Linked DNA regions of Elephas maximus indicus. The protein of the gene in region 3 interacts with the protein of the main gene of each other region in a biochemical or structural test. Links are inferred from orthologs where the notes say so. Each region holds a gene or a part of one and is shown on either strand. Other genes may lie near its edges. The genes, in order: CACNA1D, WWTR1 and SHANK1.

Region 1 (7,920 bases), on a different chromosome or scaffold from region 3:
TAGGTTCAATGCATGCCACTGCCAAAAAACAACAGTGGATTTTAAACTAACCACAGAGTATCAAATGACCAGACTACTTTTCATACTTTAATTATCTGCCACTTTGAAGTTTTAGGCTGCTACTCCCTCCCCCATCACTCTACACACACACACACATACTCCCTCCCCCCATTGCTCTACACACACACACACCCCCACCCACCCACCCAGAGGGTGGGCTAAATATACCCACAGAGCCAGGCCTCTGCAACCCTAGGAGATCTGAAGGTATATACAATGAAACCCCTTCCACACAGCTTCTTCTGTGGTTCACATTCCAGACCGCTGCAGCTTTGGTAAGTGCCATTTCAGAAAGCAAATCCTTTTAAAGAACAGATGGTAAAAGAGAAAATGAGAAAGACTTTCCAAAAAAAAGGATACTTCCATTCCACTATACTAATGCAGGCTCTTCGGATGGGGTTATTGAGTGATAAACAGAAAAGGGCACGGGCAGGTCGGCTGTTGGACGAGTTACCCTGTTTTTTGCTCTTGGCGTATTGCTGACGTTTTCTTTGGGAGAGAGATCCTACAGGTGGAGGCGCGGAGGTGCTCATAGTTTGGGCAGCCTTGGCCTGTCTAGCAGCATCGATTGCAGCTTGCCAAGACAGGACAGTCTGCTTGGAGCTATTCGGCTGAGAAGTTGGTCCTTCACCAGAAAGAGGGAGTCTGGTGCCTCTTGCATAGTTTGCCTCTGGGGAGAAGGAAAAGAAAAATAACAATGAGTATCTAGTGTCTAGAAAAAAAGCCAAGCTTGTGTCCAACAGAAACAGGGGGGATCACACCCATGGGCCCACTTTGAACTTCATGTGCTGTGTTTCAGAAGCAGGGATTTGGTCAGCCAGAGCTGCAGGAAAAGTCCGTCAGCTCTGGCCTGAGTGTCGGTCGGTCACCCAGGAGCAGTACACCATTACACTCACCATCGTTAGTGCCCCTCCACACCCGTGTCTTCACCAGGAGTCGTTTAGGCATTTTCAGACAAACTGAGGTCATGCCCACATTTATTCCACACTCTTTCCAATCTGTAAAACCCATGTATCTCTAATGACTTAACAGATACGTACAACAGCTCTGCTCTACAATAACTACCACCACTACAAAAAAGGGGGGGGCAGTGCCAATAATTCAATAATCTTAATCATCTCTCCAATATCTTTCCACAGCCATAATTGCAGTTCTTTCAGCATGAAAGAAAAAACGAAAAATCCTCCACAGGCACCCAGGCATTACCAAAAGCCCCGTAACAAATATCTAGATCATGCACTGACGCTTCCTGCAAATGAAAATTCATGATGCTTGGGATTCATTTCCTCCACAGGCTTCCGAAAACAGAAAACATCTTTAGGGCTTTTTTGCATTTTAAATTGCAGCAGCATCAGCCAAGCCAGCATCCAGAGAGAGGCAGGCACCCTGCGCTCCTACACCTAGGATGACAGCCTGGGTTATGACAAGGGCCCTCAAGGCCTGAACAGGAGTCACCTGAGTGCAGTCTGGCACCCAGGTGCACAAAGGGCAGAGCCCCAAGGGAACCTTCTGTGGGAAGCCCCCACTAGCTTTGAGTCAGGTCAAAGCCCAGGCAGGTATCCTAGGCATCTGCACCCACTCTTGTCCAAAATTTCTTTATGAGGGCAGAGACCAAAGTGAGAGGTAGGGGCATGAGCGTTTGAAAAACCAATTACTGTTAAGTGAAGAGCAAGGCAGAGTCAAAGCAAGCACGGGTCTGCTGCCCAGCAGCCTGAGAAGGGGGCAGAGTGGGGAGGGCAGCTGACAGTGGGAGCCCAGGATGAGTCGTGCCAAGCCCTCCCTTGGAGAGCGCTAGCTCAGGAAGGCTTCGAGCCCAGTGGGAGACGGAGAGGGGTTGGTGACCTCCAAGTAAGAGGGGGGAGGGCTGGCCAGGAGCTGCTCCAGCCTCCCTAGACAGAGCCCCGGCAGGTGTGGAAACTGCACGTGGTGCCCTGACTGGGGAGGGGAGCCCCACAGCGGCAGCGACTCCCCGGGCATTGCTAGGTTACCGACAGTGCCGGCACCGGGAGTGGGAATACACGCTCCATCCGCCCCTCCCCCCCCCCATTTGAGACCTGGCCTCCCCCCGCAAGGGGAGGGGTATGCTTCACCCACCGGCGCGAAGAGTGAAACCCGGCAATCCTAGAATTTTCCGGATGCCACCAGAGACCTTCCCAGTCAGCCAGGGGGCGAAGGAGGAGAGGAAAGGGAGAAGAGGCTAACCCCACCACCACCTTCATTACTCGGCTGCGTTGGTGGAAAGTTGAGCCCGAGGACACTGAACCCGAATCACCTCGGCTCGCCCCTCCTGCTGCACAGAACACCAGAGACTCACGGCCGCCCCCACCCCACAAATGCAGAATTAACTCCGACATTCAGGGCCTGAAGGGGAGAACGGAGTGGTTTTTTCACGCATCTCTCCCTTCTATGTAGATGACACCGGGCAAGAAGCATCCTCTCCAACCCCCTCAACCCACCCAGGCATCAGAGACGGAGAAGTGTGGGGCGGGAGGGGGCGAGGGGGTGAGAAGAGGGCCATGACAAGGATTAGATGTGGCAGCGGGTGCCCAGGCTCTGGCTGCTCACCATTCGCGTGGTCCGCTTGCTGCCGTTGATGCTGCATTTTTTTCATCATCATCATCATCATCATCCACGAACATTTATTGAGCGCCTACTGTGTGTAGGGCACTGTGCTGGGCGTCGGGGCGGGGGAAGAACGGGGAAGGGGGTTACTAATAGGTGGGAGCCGCGGTCCCTGCCCTTAGTCTTCCTTCAGCAGGGGGTGGGGAGAGACGGGGACAAATAACAGAAAATAAGGACAATTTAAAAAAACTGCTCGCCACCCACGATCCCTCTTTTTCAAAAAAAATGGAGCAAAATAAACTTTTTAAAAAAATAAAATCCGATGTATATATTATCTTAATAATATATACATGCAATTTTTTGCTGCAAAGGAGAACCGGCTTGGTCCCCTCTCTAGCGGAGGGACGCCGCAGAGATGCCGGCCCGGCCGCCGGGGCCGCACGGAGCGCCCCCCATGCCCGCCCGCCCGCCCGCCCGCCGTCGCCGCGGTGCCCGGTGCCCGCCGCCGCCGCCGCCCGCGCCGCCGCTGGCTCGGGACCGCGGGCAGCCCCGCTCACATCCGGGGACGGAGGCAGGCGCTCGCCCGCCCGCCCGCTCGCCGGCTCGCTCGCTCCGCGCCCGCCGCGCCGCGCCGCGCCGCGCCGCACGCCGGCTTCGCCCTGGCGACGCTGCGCGCCCGCCGTCCCCTCCCTCCCCCGCCCGCCCGCCCGCCCGAGCCTCCCACGGCTGCGCCGCGCCCCAGCTGGGGGCGGCCGGGCGGGCTCTTCCCGCACGTCCCGTGGGGTCGGGGTGGCCGCCGCCTGGGACTCGGGCTTCTGCCACCGCCGCCTGCGCCGCTGACCTGACGGAGCCAAAGGGTTAAGCGCGCTCCGGCCGCGGGCCGCCGGGTTAACCCCCTCCGCGCCGCAGGGTTAGCTCCCCCCGCAGTCCCCCAAAGGAGGCGGGCGGGGCCTGTGGATCCCGCGGCACTGAGGTGCGGGTTAACCGCTCCTCCCCCTGCATTTTTTCCGGGGCGGGGGAAGGGACCTCGGGGTCCCAGGGCTGGCCTCGCTAGGCTGTCGGTATCATCCTCCCCCTCGGCACACCTGGAGGAGGCCCCGCCCCTGGAAGCACAGGTGTCGACGCGCCCCCCTCGCGGGGCTCTCTACCTGGCTCTCCTACAGCTCCGGAGCCGGGCCGGCGCCCTTTTTACCTTTGGCTCTTTCTAGTCGAGGAGGGTGGGGGAGCCCGGCTCTCCGGAGAGCACTCATTGCCCCCAGGTAGCCGCACCTTTGGATTTAATCGGGTTTCCAGAGCGCACCCCCTTCCCCCTCCTCAGCCCTGCGCCAGATCTGGCGCCGCGGACTCTAAGGCTCAAAGGCAGTTGGGGAGGGGGGGTGCTTGCTCGCTCTTTCTACGCGTGTGTTTGGAGGCAGGTAGTAGAAAGTAAAAACCAAGATTTTTCAAAGCGCTTGGGTTGCCTATAGAAATAGGTAGTGCTGCTGAAACTGTTGACTCCCCTCTGGGAGCTGTGGAGAATAGCTTTATGATACCTTCATTGCCTTTTGTATTTGGGGGTGGGGGTTGCAAACGGCAGCTCCTGTCTAAAAGGAAAAATACTGTATCTAGTGGATGACCGATAATTTCATTTAGCTTTGTGCTATCATAGAAGCGTGTCTGCTTTGTTACTTCACAGGATTCAGTTTATTTGCTTTTGTTTCCATCTACATGTTCCTACAGCGTTTTAGAACTGTTTTTAAAGCAAAAAAGCTCAGGGTGAATTAAGAAAATTAAAGTGTTTATAAGAAGGCACTCTTTGGCTAAAGAAGGCACACTGCGTGAACAACGGGGGCATGCACAATTTTGGGGGGCATCTGGGAGTGGGGACCAGACATCCTTCCTGAGAGGGGTGTCCAGACGGGAAGGATAGAGGAACCCTCTCCTTTTTTTTTATTTTCATGTTTTGGAGAGAAGCAGCAGAGGAATAGCCCTGTGGTGTAGTAATAATATAAAGCTGGCATGCGCCACCTCATCTAAGGCTGCTTCTGAGCCAACAGCTGAAGGAATAGAAGAAGGTTCCCTTCAAAGAATTCCAAGGACTCCTCAGGCCTGAAGCAAACAGAAAATCTCCAGTATACCTGTCACTTTCAGGAATCCAGGTCTAAAGCCTTGCCTATTGAGACCTTTTCTACAAAATTCTACCCTGTTTGCTTACAATTCAATTCAGTTCAGCCGACATTCATAAGGCACCTGTGTCTGGACCAGGTGTTGTCAGGACAAATCTGTGATACAGAGGGTCCCTCAAGGACATAAGATCTAGTGGAAAAAGAAAAGTGTGTCTATATGTCTAATACCATACAGAACATAGGAGGTATGAATAAAATAAAATGGTACAAAGAAAGTACTATGCATGCATCAAAGGGATTAATTATAATTGGGGGTATCTGACAAGTTCTCACAGAAGAAACATTTTACTTGCTTCTTAAAGAGCGGTAGAAATAGGAGTAACAGGAACAAGCTTTTGGGGAAAAGCAGAAGGGAGATGGGTGTGAAATGTTGGATGAGGTTGACAATAAGCAGGAGTACACTGTGGTTGAGCCACAGGCTGCCTGGACTGTAGGAAGGAAGGAGGCTGGAAAGACAGACTCAGACCCAGTCAAAGATGGCTTATCCATCCTTTCTGCAGTGGAAGTCAGTGGAGGTTTTTAAGCTGATAAGTGACATGATTAAAATTGTGACAAAGGTCTCCCTTTAAAAAAAAGGTTTTACCTTTTAGATCTAAATAAGTTTATGGAACTAGAGTTTTTAAAGTTATTCTGTCCCAGCTTCTGAATGAGTGCCATCCTTGAAATGTCTCCAGCAAGTTTTTTGAGGGCCCTCATTCAGCTCCATGGCTCTGGAATGTTTGGTACATTGGGTAATTTAAACATTACTGAATAAATAAATAGCTAATCTTTTTAAAGACTTCCTTTGTGTAGACGTTTAACTATAAGACAGAAACCCTGGTGGCACAGTAGGAACTAGTAATACCTTCATTTTATAGATGACAGAACTAAGGCACTGAAGGGTTAAGTAACTTGGCCAAAACCATACACAACTACTCAGTGGCTGAGACAATAAACATAAGAAAATACTAGAATAAAATGTTTCAGCTCTAGTCAGCCAAACCTGGTAAAACCCAAGTATGTCATTAATACACTGTTGTGTGGTCTTAGTCCCCATGCCATTATATATAAAACACTGCCACTTGAAAGCAGCGAGATGTAATTTCAGATGTGGTTACCCTGCATGTATTTCTAAAAGCCTTGCTGAGAAGCCCATGCCACAGCCTTACCACCTTATACCCCTGGATCATTAGTTAGATGGCCCATCTCCATTCCACCTCCCACAGATAATCCATCTTATATTCAAAAAACACCAAGTCACTACCCTAACCAAAAAATATTATGAGCTCTCCTTTCCTTCCATGTCCAGTCTAAACTCCTCTTGCTAGTTTTCAGCCTTATCATTTCACACCACTCGCCTTCACTGTGGTCAGCATTCTCATTAAGCCGTGAACACGCTATACTCATTTCTGATTCTCTGCCTCAGCTCGTGTTTATTCTCTGACCTGAAATCCCTGCCTTGCTGACCCCAACGAAATCCTCCCTATTTAACAAGACCCTGATCAAGTCCCTACCTCCTCCCAGAAGGCTTCTCTGATTACTCCATCCACCTATATGTATGCAGCCCCGTCCCTGAAGTCCTGTAGCAGCTAGTTTGCCCTCTGACTACTGTACATACCGTTTGTGTCTTGTTTGATTGCTTCTTGGCCGTAAGTACTCTCTCCAACCACAGTGCAAGTCTCACCTCCTTAGCCCCCTGTCCAAACTGCCAAGTGTTATGTTCACAGCAGATACTAAATAACCTGCACAGAATCATAAAAGCCCATAGATGTGACTAGAAATTGTTAGCTAATATTTACAAAAATTCCATAACATTGATGGCAGGACACTTAGCTCTAAGATGGTAAGAATACAAAATGGATGGAAAATTGGATCCTTTGCCCTCCAAGAATTCCAATTAAGGAAGACAGACAAACAGATCCTGAAGGTAATTGTAAAGAAAGCTAATATGCAGAATATATCCATAAACATACTGTGAAGTTAGATCTGAAGAAGGCTGTCCATCCACAGGCCCTTGTGCTAAGAACCTAGCCCTGACCCACTAACAACCGGTACAGGTGGACAAAGCGGGTGGGCACATGTGTTCCAGGTAGAGGTGCCATATCTACAACGTCAGAGGCAGAAAAGTCCAGAATATGTGTATAAATCAGTAAGTAGGTAGTTAGGCTGCAACCTAGGGGTACTTAGAAGTGAGGCTGCAAAGGCAGGACGGAGCCAGATCGTAGAAAGTCTATAATGTCCTGCTTACAAGTCTGGGTGTTATCCTGTAGACCAAGGGTTCTCAAACTTTTGGGACCCAGGACACATTTACACTCTTAAAAATTATCTAAGACTTCAATGAGCTTTTGTTTATGTAGATTATATCTATTGATGTTTGCCATATTCAAAATTAAAACAGAACATTTTTAAATTACTAATTCATGTAAACATCATAATAAGCCCATTACATGTTAATATTTTTTATGAAAAGTAACTCTGTTTCCCAAAACAAAATAGTGAGAAGAGTGGTACTCTTACATTTTTGCAAACCTTTTTAATGTCTGGCTGGATAAAAGACAACTGGATTCTCATATCTGCTTCTGCATTCAATCCATAGTGATAGAATGTTTGGGTTGAAGTATATGAAGAATATCTAGCCTCACACGATACGAAGTTGAAAAGAAGAGGTAGATAATTGTGGATGTTCTTCATTGATAAAACACTAAAACTTGACTCTTAAAGGTTAGTCGAAATGTAGAATTTGAAACTATTTTAGTGAAATATTTCACGCTTTGTAATATTTCAATGTTTTGGATTCTGTTAATGGCCTAATTTATGGCCTAATATGTGGTCTGTTCTGGAGAATGTTCCATGTGCCTTGGAAAAGAAAGTATTAAAAATATGGAATGCTTCACGAATTTGCATGTCATCCTCGCACCGGGGCCATGATAATCTTCTCTGTATCCTTTCAATTTTAGTATATGTGCTGCCCAAGTGAGCACTCATACTTTGTTACATTAAAATCTATCAGTCTATTTTGCACTTTGAATGGTAACATAACACATTGATCATTTGGAAATTATTGGTTCAACTGGAGCCCTGGTGGCACAGTGCTTAAGAGCTTGGCTGCTAACCAAAAGGTCAGCAGTTTGAATCCACCAACTGCTCCTTGGAA
Region 2 (7,766 bases), on a different chromosome or scaffold from region 3:
CCACTGTGTCAATCCATCTCATCGAGGGGCTTCCTCTTTTTCACTGACCCTCTACTTTACCAAGCATGATGTCCTTCTCCAGCGACTGGTCCCTCCTGATAACATGTCCAGAGTATGTGAGACGAAGTCTCATTATCCTTGCTTCTAATGAGCATTCCGGCTGTACTCCTTCCAAAACAGATTTGTTTGTTCTTCTGATAGTCCATGGTATATTCAATATTCTTCACCAGTACTGTAATTCAAAGGCCTCAATTCTTCTTCGATCTTCCTTATTCATGGTCCAGCTTTCACATGTGTTTTTGAGGTGATTTAAAACACCATGGCTTGGATTAGGGACACCTTAGTCCTTAAAGTGACATCTTTGCTTTTTAACACTTTAAAGAGGTTTTTTTGCAGCAGATTTGCTTAATGCAACGCATTTTTCAATTTCTTGACTGCTGCTTCCGTTGGTGTTGGTTGTGACCCAAGTAAAATAAAATTCTTGACAACTTCAATTTTTTCCCCGTTTGTGATGTTGCTTATTGGTCCAGTTGTAAGGATTTTTGTTTTCTTTATGTTGAGGCATAATCCATACTGAAGGCTTTGGTCTTTGATCTTCATCAGTAAATGCTTCAAGTCTTTTACACTTTGAGCAACCAAGGTTGTGTCATCTGTATCATGCAGGTTGTTCATGAGTCCTCCTCCAATCCTGATGCCACGTTCTTCTCCTTATGGCCCACCTTCTCAGATTATTTGCTCAGCATACAGATTGAATAGGTGTGGTGAAAGGATACAACCCTGACACAAGCCTTTCTTGACTTTAAACCACACAGTATCCCCTTGTTCTGTTCAAACGACTGCCTCTCTAAGTACAAGTTCCTCATGAGCACAATAAAGTGTTCTGGAATCCCCATTCTTTGCAATGTTACCCATAATTTGTGATGATCCACACAGTCGAATGCCTTTGTATAGTCAATAAAACACAGGTCAACACCCAGGATGGGAGAGTGAAAAAAGCTCTCTGCTTTGGGGTTACAAACCCTGGGATGAATCTCGGATTTTTTGTTCGTTTGTTTCTGCAAATTAATTGTATGTATTTGGATGAGATAGTTTTAATTTCATTGGGCCAGTTTTCTTATCTGTAAAACAAAGATGTATAGTATATTATCTATTCTACTAGTCTTCTTGAGACTTAAGTAGCAGCCATTATTTGTTGGGTGCTTTGGCATATGATGGAGCCCTGGTGGCTCCGTGGTTAAGAGCTCAGCTGTTAACCAAAAGGTCAGCAGTTTGAATCCACCAGCCAGCTGCTCCTTCGAAACCCTGTGTGGCAGTTCTACTCTGTCCTATAGGGTGGCCGTGAGTCAGAACCTACTTGAAGGCAACGGATTCTTTTTTTTTTTTTTTGGTTTTTAGTATATAATAGGGTTTTTACTAAAAACTTTATTCGCATTTTCTTATTTAATTTTTAGGATGCACATTTGCATAACAAACTATCCAAAAACTTAGTGGCTTAAAATAATACCCAGTTTATATGCTGACAGTTCTGCAGCCTGGACTGGGCTCAGCTCTGTGGTTCTTCTGCTGGTCTTCCTGGTGGTCACTGATGTGTTTGCCATCAGCTAGTGGGCTGGTTGGGGGCTGGGTTCAGCTCAGATGCCGCAATAACTGGGTTTCTCCCAGTTTCCGAGTATCTCAGGGCTTTTCCCACTTGGATTTCTTACCAGGCGGCTCAGCTCTCTCAAAAGTGCAAAAAAAAGGAAGCTTCCACACCTTCTTAGAGCTTATGGGCAGAACTAGTACAGCTTCACTGCCACATTTTCTTGGTTAAAGCAAGTCACAGGTCTAGTCCAGATTTAATGGAAGGGATTACATAAGGGTGTGGATACCAGGAGGGTTGTTCATTGAAGGCCAGAAATGTAATGGATTAAACCCAAAACCAAACCAAACCTGTTGCCGTTGAGTGGATTCCGGCTCACAGCAACCTCTTATAGGACAGAATAGAACTGCCCTATAGGGTTTCCAAAGAGCAGCTGGTGGATTTGAACTGCCAACGTTCTGGTTAGCAGCCATAGCTTTTAACCACTGTGCCATCAGGGCTCCATGTTGCACATTAACACAGTATTATTATTTCCAACTTGCAGATAAAGAAACTGTGACTTTGGGAGGCTAAGTTCCTTGCCCATGGTAGAGGGTAGAGCTAGGTACTTTGGAGCTTGTGCTCTAAATCATGGGCCAACATTGTCTTAACCTAGAATCCTGTGAAGTGGGCATTGCTATTGTCTCTAATTGACAAAAAAAAAAGGAGGAGGAAGAGGAAGGAGAAGAAAAACCCCAGGAACAGAGCTTGAGTATGTTGCGTGAGGTGACCCAGGTATTTTGCCGCAGAGGTCTACACTTACCCACCACACCATGCTGCCTCTAATGCACAGTACCTGACACATACAAGGCACTGTAGAGCTTAATCTGAAGCTGTTGTTGGAAGGGCTGGGATGACAACGGGTCTTTCGAATCATCCACTATCATATCCCAGGCTGTTTGGGAACTCGGAGTTTTCCCTTTGAGTTATCCTGTAATCAGGACAGTTTTAATTTCTGGTATCTACTGCATCCCCCATTGTCTATTTCTTGAAGCATGGCAAGGAATGAAGACTGCAGCCTTGCCCATCCAATCCCAACCCTAACTCTCACCCGCTGATTAGCCTTGTGGCTCCTCAGCACATGCTTCTCTGTGGCAGCCAGGTTTCTTTGCAAAGCAGGAGCTTCCTTCAGGGGTGAGGACCTTTCTGTAGCAAGGCGGGACTCAGTTTCCATCCTTGAATCATCAAGTCAGCCGTGTTGCTTCTGAATCAAGAGCCATTTGATCCCAGCACCTTCTCTATTTCCCCACTGTGGCAGCTATGGGGGATTCTGACCCTAGTTTGCAAAGCTGCTACTTCATGGCATAACCTGTGCTAGCTCCCACTTCCCTCAGTCACCTGTGGGTAGAGGACTTACTGTACGGAAAACATGGGGTTCTGGAGGTTCCTCAAAGAAGCCATGGCCTCCTTACCTTTCAAAGTGATCCATGTGGCTGTCTTTCTCTAAGGCAGTCCTGGTGTTTCCCAAACTGTGAGGGGTCTGCAATCAGATCAACACTTCTAGTACAGACAAGGGGAGAGGGGGCTCCCTTTGGTGGGCTCTGCTCTATTTTGGGCGGTGATAGGGATGTAACCGTTTAGCAAGTGGCTCCCAAATTCGTGCAGTGGTTAAGGGCTCAGGTGCTAACCAAAAGGTCAGCAGTTGGAATCCACCAGCAGTTCCTTGGAAACCCTATGGGGCAGTTCTCACTCTGTCCTATAGGGTTCCTATGAGTTGGAATGGACTGGAAGGCAACATCTCCCTCACCAAGGTAAAACAATGAGGAGGCCTCCTCTTTCCCTTAAACTTTTTCAGGGCAACTCCAGATGTTGACTTCATTTTGCCCTTACAATACAGTGTAAGAACAATACCTGCACAATTCTATTTTATTTAACAAACACTTATGGAGCCTGGCCGAGTGTTGTTTGTAGTGCTTTACATATATTGCCTTATATATTTTTAAAAGTTCTATCTGAATGAAATGGGGTGGGGTACAGGGATTCTGGAGCTCAGTTCACCTCCGATGCCACTTTCCCATTCTCCCCAGTGGAGAGGGGACAAGGGAGAGAGAAGTGAGCTGCTCTGGAGGACAAGGTCACCTCCTACTCTCCGCAGCTGTCTAGCCAGGCTTAACTTCCTCCCCCTAGTTTAGGGTCTCCACCCCTCGGCCAAATCCAGTCGGTAGGGGGTGGGTGGCTTTTTCCGGGTCACTGGCGCACCCTCTCCCTCCCAGCCACCTGCTCCGGTTCCATCCCGGCACCAGGCTCTCCGGAGGGCGTCAGGGACATTCCAATCCTCCCACCACCCGCGCGGAGGGCGCGGAAGAGGGGGGTGGTGCGCGATCTCTCTCCCCTTTCCGCACCCACCCTTTGACTCGGTTTCTTCTCAATCCCTAGTGACCTGAGACACCCTGGAGAGGAAACTAAGGGTTGATGAATGGTTCGAAGGTCGTTTGTTTACAGGCCACCCGCTGGCAAAGCCGCATTTCCAGCGACAGAGGCGCTTTCTGGGCACCGTCTGCGCTCAAGCAGACAATTGAAAGCCAAGCCGACGAGATGCCTCCTCGCCACACCAAATATGGTCACAAGTGCAAAGCAGGCTCCGTGGAAAGGCCAGCCTTGGTGGCTCCCCGCGCAGGGGCGCTCCCGAGCTCGCCCTAGGACACAGCCGCGAGTCCGAGCGGCGCTCGGGGTGCCGGGGGCTCGGCACCCAGCTCGAGGGGAGGGCGCGGCTCCGAGGACCCGCCCTTCGCTGGTCTGGGCCCCTCACCCGCATGCCCTCCACCGCCCCCAGCCTTGGTTTCGGTCCACAAGCCCTTGATAAAACAGGCTCGGGCCACTTTCCCTTTGATCCCGCCCCAAGTCCTTGGTAAACTCAAAGGAATGCAGATCCAGGGCTCCGCGGGAACGGTCCGCCCGGCGGGAGGAGTGGGTGGGGGGCACCCGTCTCCTCTTACCCTGCAAAGTACCCATCACGCCCAGGGTTTCTGGAGCTGGGTAGGAGAAGGAGGAGGAGGAAAGGGAGGGGCGAGCGGGGGCAGGCCCGCTTTGGATTCAGAGTCATGCATAATTCAACAGCTCAACTTTCGGGCCCGCCTCTTTCCTGGGGGTGGGAATTTGCTCCAAACTTTGTTTATGGGACAGTCCGGGAGCCGCGGCGGCCGCGCTGTCTGCTTCTCGTCTGCGCCCATCTCGCCGAGTGCGAGCGCCTGAGGCCGGCTCGGGGGATGTAAGAGCCCAAGCCCCTCGGCTCCCAGGCACTGAGTGGGTCGGGATTTGCCAGCCGGGCCCCGGCTCCAGCTTCGCGAGCTCGGTCCCCACCCGAGCGACCCAGCCCGACGGCGGGTTCAGGCTGGCCGGCGGCGGCCGCGCGCCCAGGCTTGGCTTCGCTGCGCGCCCAGGTAGTGCCGGCTGGAGCGCGCCGCTCGCCCGGCCCCACTCCAGGGCGCCTGGCTCCTCGGGCTTCCGGAGTCGAGACGTCGTGGAGTTGGCTTGGGTTAGACTTCTTTGGGGAGGGGGGTCTGTCTGTCCTAGAAAGCTGCGACCTCTCCTTTGCCACTAGAAGGTTCAGCAACATCCTGCGTGCAGTCACCACTCCCCTCCCCCTCCTTCCTTCTCCTTCTCCTCCCGAGAACTTCTTGGCTTCAAGAAAGTTGCATAATTCTCCAGGCAAGGAGGGACCCCTCCCCCATCCGCCTGGTCTCGCTGCAGCGTGTCTGCGATCCCGAGGCGGGCATCTATCAGTCTCCTCGTTTTCTTTTCTATTCTTCTCCCCCTCCCCGGCTTTCAATAAAAGGCTTATCTGACCTTCCTTCTTGCTTGCAGAAGATGAATCCGGTCTCGGGACCCCCTCCGCTCCCGCCGCCCGGGCAGCAAGTGATCCACGTCACGCAGGACCTCGACACAGACCTCGAAGCCCTCTTCAACTCGGTCCGGAACCCCAAGCCCAGCTCGTGGCGGAAGAAGATCCTGCCCGAGTCGTTCTTCAAGGAGCCTGACTCGGGCTCACACTCGCGCCAGTCGAGCACCGACTCGTCGGGCGGCCACCCCGGCCCCCGACTGGTCAGCGGTGCCCAGCACGTCCGCTCGCACTCGTCGCCCGCGTCCCTGCAGCTGGGCACGGGTGCGGGCGCGGCGGCCAGCCCCGCGCAGCAGCACGCGCACCTTCGCCAGCAGTCCTACGACGTGACGGATGAGCTGCCGCTGCCCCCAGGCTGGGAGATGACCTTCACGGCCACTGGCCAGAGGTACTTCCTCAAGTAAGTCAGCCTGGCCAGGGGAAGCAGAGGCACGATGACCCGGGGCCCGCGCTTGTGTGTGTGTGTGTGTGAGAGAGAGAGAGAGAAGGTGCACGTCCTTCCAGGGTTCTTTCCCAAAGATCTGGGTGAACGCTGGCAGCAAGGAGTGAACGGCTGGGTATTGGAATTGTAAGGGATCAGAAGCTGGGGAGTCTCTGGTGAGGTTCATCCAGAGTCCTGCAAGTCTCAAGAGATTCAGGACTTGGAAACTCCTAGAGATAGGAGAAAAGTGGGGGATTCCCATGATACTCACAGGTGACTGTTCCTGCATTGGGAGGACTGAAGCAGACTCCTGGGCTGAGGCCCTGTTGTAGTTATCTAGTGCTGCTACAACAGAAATATTACAAGTGCATGGCTTTCACAAACAGAAATTTATCTTCTCACAATTTAGGAGGCTACAAGTCTGAATTTCAGAGCACTGGCTCTAGGGGAGGGCTTTCTTTCTTGGCTCTGGAGGAAGGTCCTTGTCTCTTCAGCTTTTGCTTCCTGGTTCCTTGGAGATCTCCATGTGTCTTGGCATCTATCTTACCCTATCTTTCCTCTGCTTAAGTGTTTAATACCTTTTTATATCTCAAAAGAGATTGACTCAAGATACACCCTACACTAATCCTGCCTCATTAACATAACAAAGACAATCCATTCCCAAATGGGATTATAACCATAGGCACAGAGGATAGGATTTACCACACCTTTTTGGGGGGACATAATTCAATTCCTACATTCTGTCCTTTGCCCCCCCCCAAAAATTCATGTCCTTGCCACATGCAAAATACATTTACCCCATCACATCATCCCAAAAGCCTGATTCAACTTCAAGTCCGAAATCTCATCTCCTGAATCATCTAAATCAGATATGGGTGAGACTTTAGGTGTGTTCCATCCTCACACAAAATTCCTCTTCATCTGTGAACCTGTGAAATCTAGACTACAAGTTATCTACTTCCAAAGCACAATGGTGGAACAGGTACAAGGTAGACATTTCCATTACAAATGGCAGAAATTGGAGGGAAAGAAGGGATAACAGGCACCAACAAGTCCAAAACCCAGCAGAACAATTCACATTAGCTGTCAAGGCTTGAAAATAATCCTTTCTTCTCTGAGACCATCTGGGCAGTGGCCCTGCCATCTGGATTCCAGGTGAAGGCACCTTAGCTTGGGGCTTCAGCTCCACCTTCCAGACCCTTTGGGATGGCATCCCTGTTCTCTTGGCTTTGGGCAGCCCCATTCTCCTAGTCCATCTGACTGGTGACCCCAACCCCTTGGCCCTGGCAGGCCCTATTCTTCTGTCCCTTGGGCTTGGCAGCCTGGCCCCCTCAGTTTTGGGGGTCGCCCCATCCCCCTGGCACACCTTAATGGCAACCCGGCACTTTGGAACCAAGTTGGTGAACACCCTACTGTTTGAAACCTAGGAGGCCGTGGCCTCACCCTTTTAAACCGTGAAGGCCCTGCTTCCTGTGCTCCTTCCAACAGTTCTGCTAATCTCCAAGATGCTCCAGGGATGGTCCTTTTATTTTCTTGGAGGACAACAGATGTAGCTCCTTTGGACTGTTTCCTGCCTGCAGAATTCCAAGAGGCAGACGGTGTTCTTTCCTTTTAGTTCTTTTTCTGTCCCTTCAGTTGAAGCTTCTGCTTCAGTACTTGGTTAGATACATCAATCACAGGCTAAATCTCTAAAAAAAAAAGATTGTGTAGCCACGTCCTTGGCGAGCATTCTAGGCCATATGTCCTTAGTTTGTACAACCGAATTTTCCAAACCTTAAACTTCTATTTTCATTTTGCACAATTCATTTTTAAGTCCATCTCTTTCCCCTCTCTTTCCTCTCACATTTTACTGTAAGTGGCAAGGAGAAGCCACATGGCATCTATAAACT
Region 3 (7,291 bases):
GGGGTTGAAGCGCAGGCATTTCTGGTGGGGGAGGGGATAGGCCAGGAAGAGGGTGTGTCAGGGGCCAGGGAGGAGCCTGAGGTGGGTTGGGAGGAGATGAAGGGCTGGGGGAGGGCGATGATGGTACTGAAGGCAGGAGGGGGACAAAGGGGCTTCCTGGGAGGGCACCCAGGATCAGAGGTCCACCCATGTCCCCCTGTCCTCCCCGCGGTCACTCACCGTCTGGTGCAGATCCGGGATGCCTATCCTGAAGACCATCATGCTGAAGTGAGCGTCGTCGGGGACAGACATGGAGCGGCCCTGGAGGCCTCGCACTGAGGCCAGACTACCAGGTGCCCCGCTGCCCCGGCCCCGGGTCCCCCGGGGGCCTCTCCCGGGCCCGTCTGGGGAGCTGTCGGACTCTGAGCCCCCCTCGGGACACTCGCTGGCACTGTGGCGTTCCTCGTCCTCGCTGGACGCGGGGCTGTGGGGCATCGTGGGGCCACGGGGCGACGGGGGGTGGCAGCATCACAGGCGGCTGCGGGGGCCAAGGGAAGCCGTCAGACTAGGAGCCTGGGACCCCTCAGAGGACCCGGGACCAGCGGCCACGGGCGCACCTCATTGCATATATCTGCCGGCAGGAAGTAGGCTGGGCACACCCCCAGACACTCCGCCCCTCGGCCGCCTCCGCACGCGCACGCACACGCACACACCCCCAGCCCGGCCACGCTCCCAGCACATGTCTCCTTCCCTGCCCTTGGCCTTCCTCGCAGCCCCCCGCCCCCCTGCGCCCCACTTTGCCGCTGACCCAGCGTCGCTGTGTCCCAGAAACCGCAGAATCACCGCGGGAGCTACTGGCCCACTTTGTCAGGCCACAGAAAAGGCAGCTAAAATTAGCAGAGGACAGACAGGTGGACTGAGCGGCCGGCATCCTGCCCTCCTGGCCCTGGCCTGGCCCCTCACCCTGGGCCCTCCCTTCCTCTTCTCCTGGGGAGCTGGGGGGAGGCTGAGGCTGCGAGGTAGTAAGGGAGAGACGGAGATGCTGGCAGCCTGGGGCGGGAGGAGCGGGTGCTGGAGCAGGTGGGGCTGGTGACTCCACAGGCGTGTGGCTGCCAGCGTGTGTGTGCACAGAGCTGTTAAGGGATTGACCGTCCCAGGAAAGCAAGTGGGCACCGAGATGGGGTGTCACAGGGCAGGGCATCGTGAGTGGGCTGTTCCTGAGGGAATCACCAGAGGTGGCCTAGGGAGGTAGTTGGGAGTATCCTGAAAGGGCGTGCGGGTGGGCGAGAGGCTGACCCCGGGAAGACCAGAGATGTGGTGGCCTGGATCGGTGTCGGGCGGCTGCGGGTGACCTATGGGTCTGTTCCAGGACTAGCGCTGCTGGCGGGTGGATTGGCATGGACTGGTACTGGTGGCTCCACTCTGTGGGGGGGTTGGAGGGCTGGTAGGGAGACTAAGAAGTGGGGTGAGGGTCTGGGGACTGGGCTGGGAGGCCATCTGCAACCCCCCGCTGTTCTTCCTGAGGTGGCCTTATAAGGATGGGTCCCAAGTGGGGTCCTCTTCCCCCATGTTCTCCCCCACTCCCACCCCAGCACCGGAAACCAGGATGTCTGGTCTGGTCCCTCCCCCCCACGCCAGGCCCAGCTCCTGCACGGTTGCCATGGAGATGGGAAGCAGTGGAGGGTACTGCTGACTTTGGGGGAGTGGGGATGGGCTGAGGGGTGGGGGAGGGAAGACAAAATGTGTATGGGGGGCAGGAGAGTTCCAAGAGCCAAGGCGAGCGAGCATCTAAGCACCAGCCGGCCAACCCCTCCCCCACGAGGGGCCAGCGCTTCGTAGCCCCCTCCCCCTCCAGGTACCCAACAGCGCTGCTCCACCCTGCCCTTCCGGGGACCCCGGTCTCCTTCTAACCCTTCTCCCGGCGCTCACCCAACGTCCCACCTCCGGCCCTGGGGCCCCGCAGCCACTCCCCCTTGACTGACCCTGGCTGACCCTCAGCTTCAGTTCAGCACTAAGGAGGTGACTGAGTGGATGAAAGGAGAGCCGGCCCTGGCCCCCCGCGCGCGCGGCTGTCCCCAAGCCCCTGGACCAGCGCCGGCCCCTCCCCCTCAGGCCCCGAGGGAGGGAGCGGGCACACTCCGCCGGGGCGGCATGAATCAAACGCTCCTCGGCTAAGAATAGCTGGCACGCAGCTGGTACCGAGACGGGCTGAGGAATCGGCAAGGGGGGTGGAGAAGAGGAGAGAGGGGGTGCCCTGGGAGGCTGCGAGGGGACGGGGGGCTGCTGGCGGGGCCCGAGAGCCGGCCCGGGAGAATGAATGGAGGCGGGGAGAGGCGGGGAGAAGGCACTGGGGCTCAGGCCGAGACACTGGTGGGGGAGAGCTCTGGCCGGAGAGAGGGGGCGGGGGCACCGGGAACGGGACTCGGGGGCGGGAGGCGAGGGGGCGCGCCGGCCGGTGGAGCAAGGAACAGAGACGGGGTGGGGGTGGCGGGAGCATGGGGAGGGGTGGAGAGGGGATAGGAGGCGCCTGGAAAGAGAAGCAGGAGTGTGAGAGGGTCGAAGGGGGCGAAGAGACAAAGGCCGAGACCCCTCGCCGAGGTGGGAATTGGGATGATCTGGAGAGGGCCTTGAGCTGTGGGACCGCAGGAGGGGGCTAGGAGCCCATGTGGTCCAGGGTGGGTGAGGCGGGGGAGTGGCCGGCAGGGCCAGGAGGCGGGCACGGCAATCGAGCCCATGGCCCTGGAGCACCGGGAGGCGGGTTCGGGCTGGGGGCGCTGCTGGCGGGATATAGGGGTGCATCTTCCCAGCCCGGCTGTCATCTGGGACGGGACACGGGGGACTGGGGCATAACCCACTTTGGCGTCGCCCGGGTAACGCTCCCCTCCTCACCTACACCCCACACCCAGGCCCCGGAGCCCGGCGCGCGGCCAAGGACATTCGGGGCGCCCCTGCCTCCTCCCTCAGCCTTAGCCCCCCCGTTCACCCAAACCCCGGATCCCCGGCCCCCTTACCTGCCTGGCGGGGCTGCAGAGTCCCGGTCGGCGGCGCCCGTGGCCCCTCCCCCCTCCCCCCACCCCCCACCCCCCCGGAGACGGGGGACCCTCAGGCCATGCCCCACCGCCCCGGAGGGCGAGCGGGCCCGGGGAGGGGGCGGGCGGGGGCCGGGGGGGAGGGCGAGGGGGCCGAGAACCTCACCCCCCCCCGCGGACCGGGCTTGGCCATCCGCAGAGCGCCCCCCCTTCCGCCGCGGCCGCCGCGCCCCTCCTCGCCGGCCCCCGGCTCGGTCCGGCCCGCTCCGGGCGCCGCGTCTCCGCCTGTCTTCCTCCTCCTCTTCCTCGGGCCGCCGCCGCCGCCGCCCGCTCCGCGCCTCTTCTGCCTCCCTTCTCGCTCTCTCGCTCTCGCTGTCTCTCCCTCACCCTGTCTCTTTCTCTCCCTCCCTCTCTCCCTCCCTCCCCTTCCTCCGCCCTCTCCCCTCCCTCCGGGAGCCGGCGGAGGAGACATCGCCCCTCCCTGCGCCCCCAAACCTCGCCCATCCCCCCCACCGCTGGCTCCACCCCCTCTCCAAGCCCTCCCCCCCACTCCTCCCTGCCACCGGGTCCCCATACCCTGACTCCACCCCCACTGGCTTCCATACCCCGAAAACGGGCCCCACCCCCCTGGGGTACCCCATGCACACCCCAGGGCAGCCCCTTCCCAGAGCGCCGCTCACCCCCTCTAAGCACGGTCGGGTGCAATAAATATTTGTTGCTGAGATCTACACCCCAAATTGGATTATGAGGGTTGTAGATCCCTGTCCCCTTCTCCCCAAACACACACACACCCCTTCTACGGGAACACAGGGCACATGTGGACACACCTGGTGGCATACTTGAACACAGGCACAGCAGGGGGCCCCCAGGCAGACATCCCACTTAGACAAGCCCTGCAGGGCATGCACACCCAAACACAATGCACCTGGGTGCACCTTACCCAAACCCACCCAGCTTGAACACAGGCATATCAGCTCATGGGCCACGGCAAACCTGCTGCCTGTGCGCACGCACATGTAATCCCCCATTCCTCACAGCGCAAATCGCCACATTCATGCCCAGATCTGCAGCCCGAAACAGGAGGCACCCAGCTGTAAGGGATGGATGCATGCATTCCCAGCTCACTCATTCCCCACCTGTCACTCAGGTACTTACGCACACACGAATTCAGATGCCCACCACAGCCATGGCCTAGCTCCCCTTCGTGACAATATAGCTGACATTTACAGAGACCTTCCTGTGTGCCAGGCTCTGGGTTAACTCATCTACTCCTCACACAACCCTATGGGTGAGGAAATTTGATCATCCCCATTTTATAGAAGGGGAAACTGAGACTCAGAGAGACCAAGTAACTTGCCTGAGGTCACACAGCTAGGCAGAGGTGGTGCCAAGCAGGCTGGCTCTAAAGCTGTCACTCAACCACTAGTCCATCCTGCCTGGCACACACGTAGTTGCACATTCTCATTCATCCCATGCATATACAGACATATCCAGCTCGCATGTGCACACATGCACACAGCACACATAGTGTATGCAGATAGCTCATTCATGCCCAGAACACACCCACAGGCACAGGGCAGGTGTCAGAGGGCAGTGAGTGCACGTCCTGGGGGCCCAGGCTGCCACCTGTCTCCCCAGCCCCAACAGGACCTCCAAGGCCACCAGCTTGAGCACAGGCACCTACAGTTCCAGGCACCCTCTGGGTGTACCTACAGCTACAAGCACTCCAGAGTTCCCCCCCCCCCAACCACCACCACCATGAGCTAGAGCAGAAAGACCTGCTTTTGATGCACACCCGGCCCAGGTGGTGAGCAGCTGGGCCTGGGGAGAGAACAGCTGCCCGTGTTGGTGCCAGCAGTGAAAGAGGTTGCACAGCTCTCTACAGTTTACAAGGCCTTTCCCGGCCTATGCAGGGGTTCTGGGCCCTGAGAGGCTGGGGCTCTAGTGAGCAGCCTACCAAGGTCACACTGCCCTTTGCTGTGTAGCAAGCTTTCTTGGAAAACCGAAGGCTGGATGTGTTCATTTCCAAGGCCCCTCCTGGGGCTCCCGGCAGCTGAGGGCAGATGCCCTGCTCTTGCTCAGAGCCAGAAACCTTGGCTAGCTGCCGCCATGCTGGTGACCTCCAGAAGGCCACAATCTCCCCTCCCTGAGCCTCGGTTTCGTCCTTTGACAAGTGGGCCCCGTGATCCCTGGCTAGGGTGCTCCATGCTTGTTGGCAAAACCAGCTCAGCCGTGGCTGGGGAAGCCCTGGATGACTCACCAGGCCTGGCTGGAGCAGGCTTGGCCTCTCCACCTCCTCCCCCACTGCCACCGCCACCTACTACAGGAGACTCGGGGTGTCACCTGAACAGCCCATCTGCGACCTTGGGTGTGTCAAGTCCAGTCTAATGCAGGCAGCCTGGCTCCTCGGAGCCCTGATGGTTCCCCAGTTCCTTGGCTTTAGCTGTGGGGCTCAGAGGGGCCAAGAGGGGGGTGGGAGGGAGGCTAGGGAGACTGACCTTTGGTCAAGCTCTTACCCTGCCAGGAAACACAGCCTCAGGATGCTTCCCCAGACCCCCAATTTTAACCAGCTTACAGCCCCTGAGCTATTCTGGAACAGTTAAACCAGCTGCTGCAGAGCCCAGTCTGACTCATGGAGACCCCAGGGCGTCAGAGTAGAACTGTGCTCTGTAGGGTTTTCAATAGCTGCGGTCTTTTGGACATAGATTCCCAGGTCTTTCTTCCAACGTGTCTCTGGGTGGACTTGAACCTCTGACCTTCTGGTTAGCAGCCAAGTGCATTAGCTGTTTGCACCACCTAGGGACTCCTCTGAAAAAACAAGACCGGGGTGCCCTCAAGTTGATTCTGACTCACGGAGACCCCAGGACACCCCAGACACAGAAACAACTTGTGGAGGGGAAGTTTCTTTAAATGAGGTGGGCAGAAAAACTGAAACCCAACCCACTGCTGCTGAGTCGGTTCCAATTCACGGCAGCCCCCTGGGGTACTGGGTAGAGCTGAGCTCCTAGGGTTTTCTTGGCTGTAAGATTTATGGAAGCAGATCACCAGGCCTTTCTTCCAAATCACCTTTGGGTGGATTCAAACTGTCACCTTCAATTAGTGTTGTTTTGTTAGGTGCCATGGAGTCAATTCTGACTCTTAGTGACCCCGTTGACAGAGTAGAACTGCCCCATAGGGTTTCCTAAGCTGTGTCTCTCATGGAGCCGCTAGGTGGGTTCAAACCGTCAACCTTTCGGTTAGCAGCTGAGCACTTAACTGTTGCACCACCAGGGCAGTAGTAGTCACATTGAAACCCAAACCATTTGCACCATGCAGGGACCTAAGGTGGGCAGAAAGCCCTCAACAATGAGAAGAAATTGGGCAAAGAGCGTGTAGGAGGAGGCAATGGCTGGCACAAAGGCTCTGGAGTGGGGGTGAACTTGGCATTCTGTAAATAGCAGAGACCAGTGTGGCTGGAGCTGGGGGGTGAGGGGAGGGGAGATGGTGCAAAGGGTTCATCCTCCCCAGCTCAGCCAGGCTAGCCAGGCTGGGTTTGGCTCCACTCCTGCATCTGATGGGAAGCTGGGGGCGCAGGGGAGTGGGGAGTGACGTGATCTGACTTACTGGTGGGAAAGATTGCTCTGGCTGCGGCAAGCATCGTGGATTGGAGGGGCTCTGGAGGAAGGAGGGGGAGAGCAGGGAGGAGGCGACTGCAGTGGTCCAGGCAGGAGACAGGCACCTTGCCAAATGCTCAGAGCTCTCCATGAGCCCAGCATCTCCTCCACCTTCTGAAGGAACCTGTCCTGACCCTACCTTTCCCTGCTTGCTCCCTCCTCCACCCCCACCTCCTCTACTACCCCTCAGCCCCAGCCTCTCACCAAGTGGGACTGTCTGTCCAAGTCCACTTGTCCGTGAGCAGCTGGAGTACCCAGCACGGCCTGGCCCGGGTCTGGTCTGCAGGAGGCATTCAGTAAAATGTGGTAAATGAACCCTGGGACACATATGTGTCCCCACAGGCATAACTCACCCACATACACGCACCTGGGACAAGGGCTTGGAGGGTGGGAATAGGAGATTTGAGGGCAGGAATCACCCTGGAGCCTGAGACTGGTTGGAGAGATCTCTCTCTTGGGATGTGTGGGCGATGGTGGCTGGGGGTAATAACAACCTTAGCTGAAACCCCTTCCTCAGGAATGGCTGGGGGTGGGAGAGAGGGGAAGGGGACAGGGCCAAACCATTGCCTGGTCCTGAGGGGCCCTGGTGCTGGCCCAGGCTGGGCCTGCCACCCTCGAAGAAAGCCAGTC

The links.
Region 1: the proteins of SHANK1 (region 3) and CACNA1D interact in a biophysical measurement, tested with the Homo sapiens proteins (2 studies listed by IntAct, with this or other methods). The link is inferred for Elephas maximus indicus from reciprocal best matches to the Homo sapiens genes SHANK1 and CACNA1D.
Region 2: the proteins of SHANK1 (region 3) and WWTR1 interact in a test that uses a peptide from one of them, tested with the Homo sapiens proteins (2 studies listed by IntAct, with this or other methods). The link is inferred for Elephas maximus indicus from reciprocal best matches to the Homo sapiens genes SHANK1 and WWTR1.

The regions. Positions count from the first base shown.
Region 1 is NC_064838.1:57,664,097-57,672,016, reverse strand, and holds the start of CACNA1D (voltage-dependent L-type calcium channel subunit alpha-1D), read right to left. Parts: upstream 3,071-7,920; 5' UTR 2,690-3,070; coding exon 2,626-2,689; intron 1,059-2,625; coding exon 957-1,058; intron 731-956; coding exon 421-730; intron 1-420. UniProt on the Homo sapiens protein: Voltage-sensitive calcium channels (VSCC) mediate the entry of calcium ions into excitable cells and are also involved in a variety of calcium-dependent processes, including muscle contraction, hormone or neurotransmitter release, gene expression, cell motility, cell division and cell death.
Region 2 is NC_064841.1:10,270,925-10,278,690, forward strand, and holds the start of WWTR1 (WW domain-containing transcription regulator protein 1), read left to right. Parts: upstream 1-4,716; 5' UTR 4,717-4,826; exon of another isoform or gene 4,827-4,998; intron 4,999-5,422; 5' UTR 5,423-5,425; coding exon 5,426-5,856; intron 5,857-7,766. UniProt on the Homo sapiens protein: Transcriptional coactivator which acts as a downstream regulatory target in the Hippo signaling pathway that plays a pivotal role in organ size control and tumor suppression by restricting proliferation and promoting apoptosis.
Region 3 is NC_064829.1:97,701,449-97,708,739, reverse strand, and holds the start of SHANK1 (SH3 and multiple ankyrin repeat domains protein 1), read right to left. Parts: upstream 3,043-7,291; 5' UTR 2,991-3,042; intron 606-2,990; exon of another isoform or gene 518-605; 5' UTR 475-517; coding exon 220-474; intron 22-219; coding exon 1-21. UniProt on the Homo sapiens protein: Seems to be an adapter protein in the postsynaptic density (PSD) of excitatory synapses that interconnects receptors of the postsynaptic membrane including NMDA-type and metabotropic glutamate receptors via complexes with GKAP/PSD-95 and Homer, respectively, and the actin-based cytoskeleton.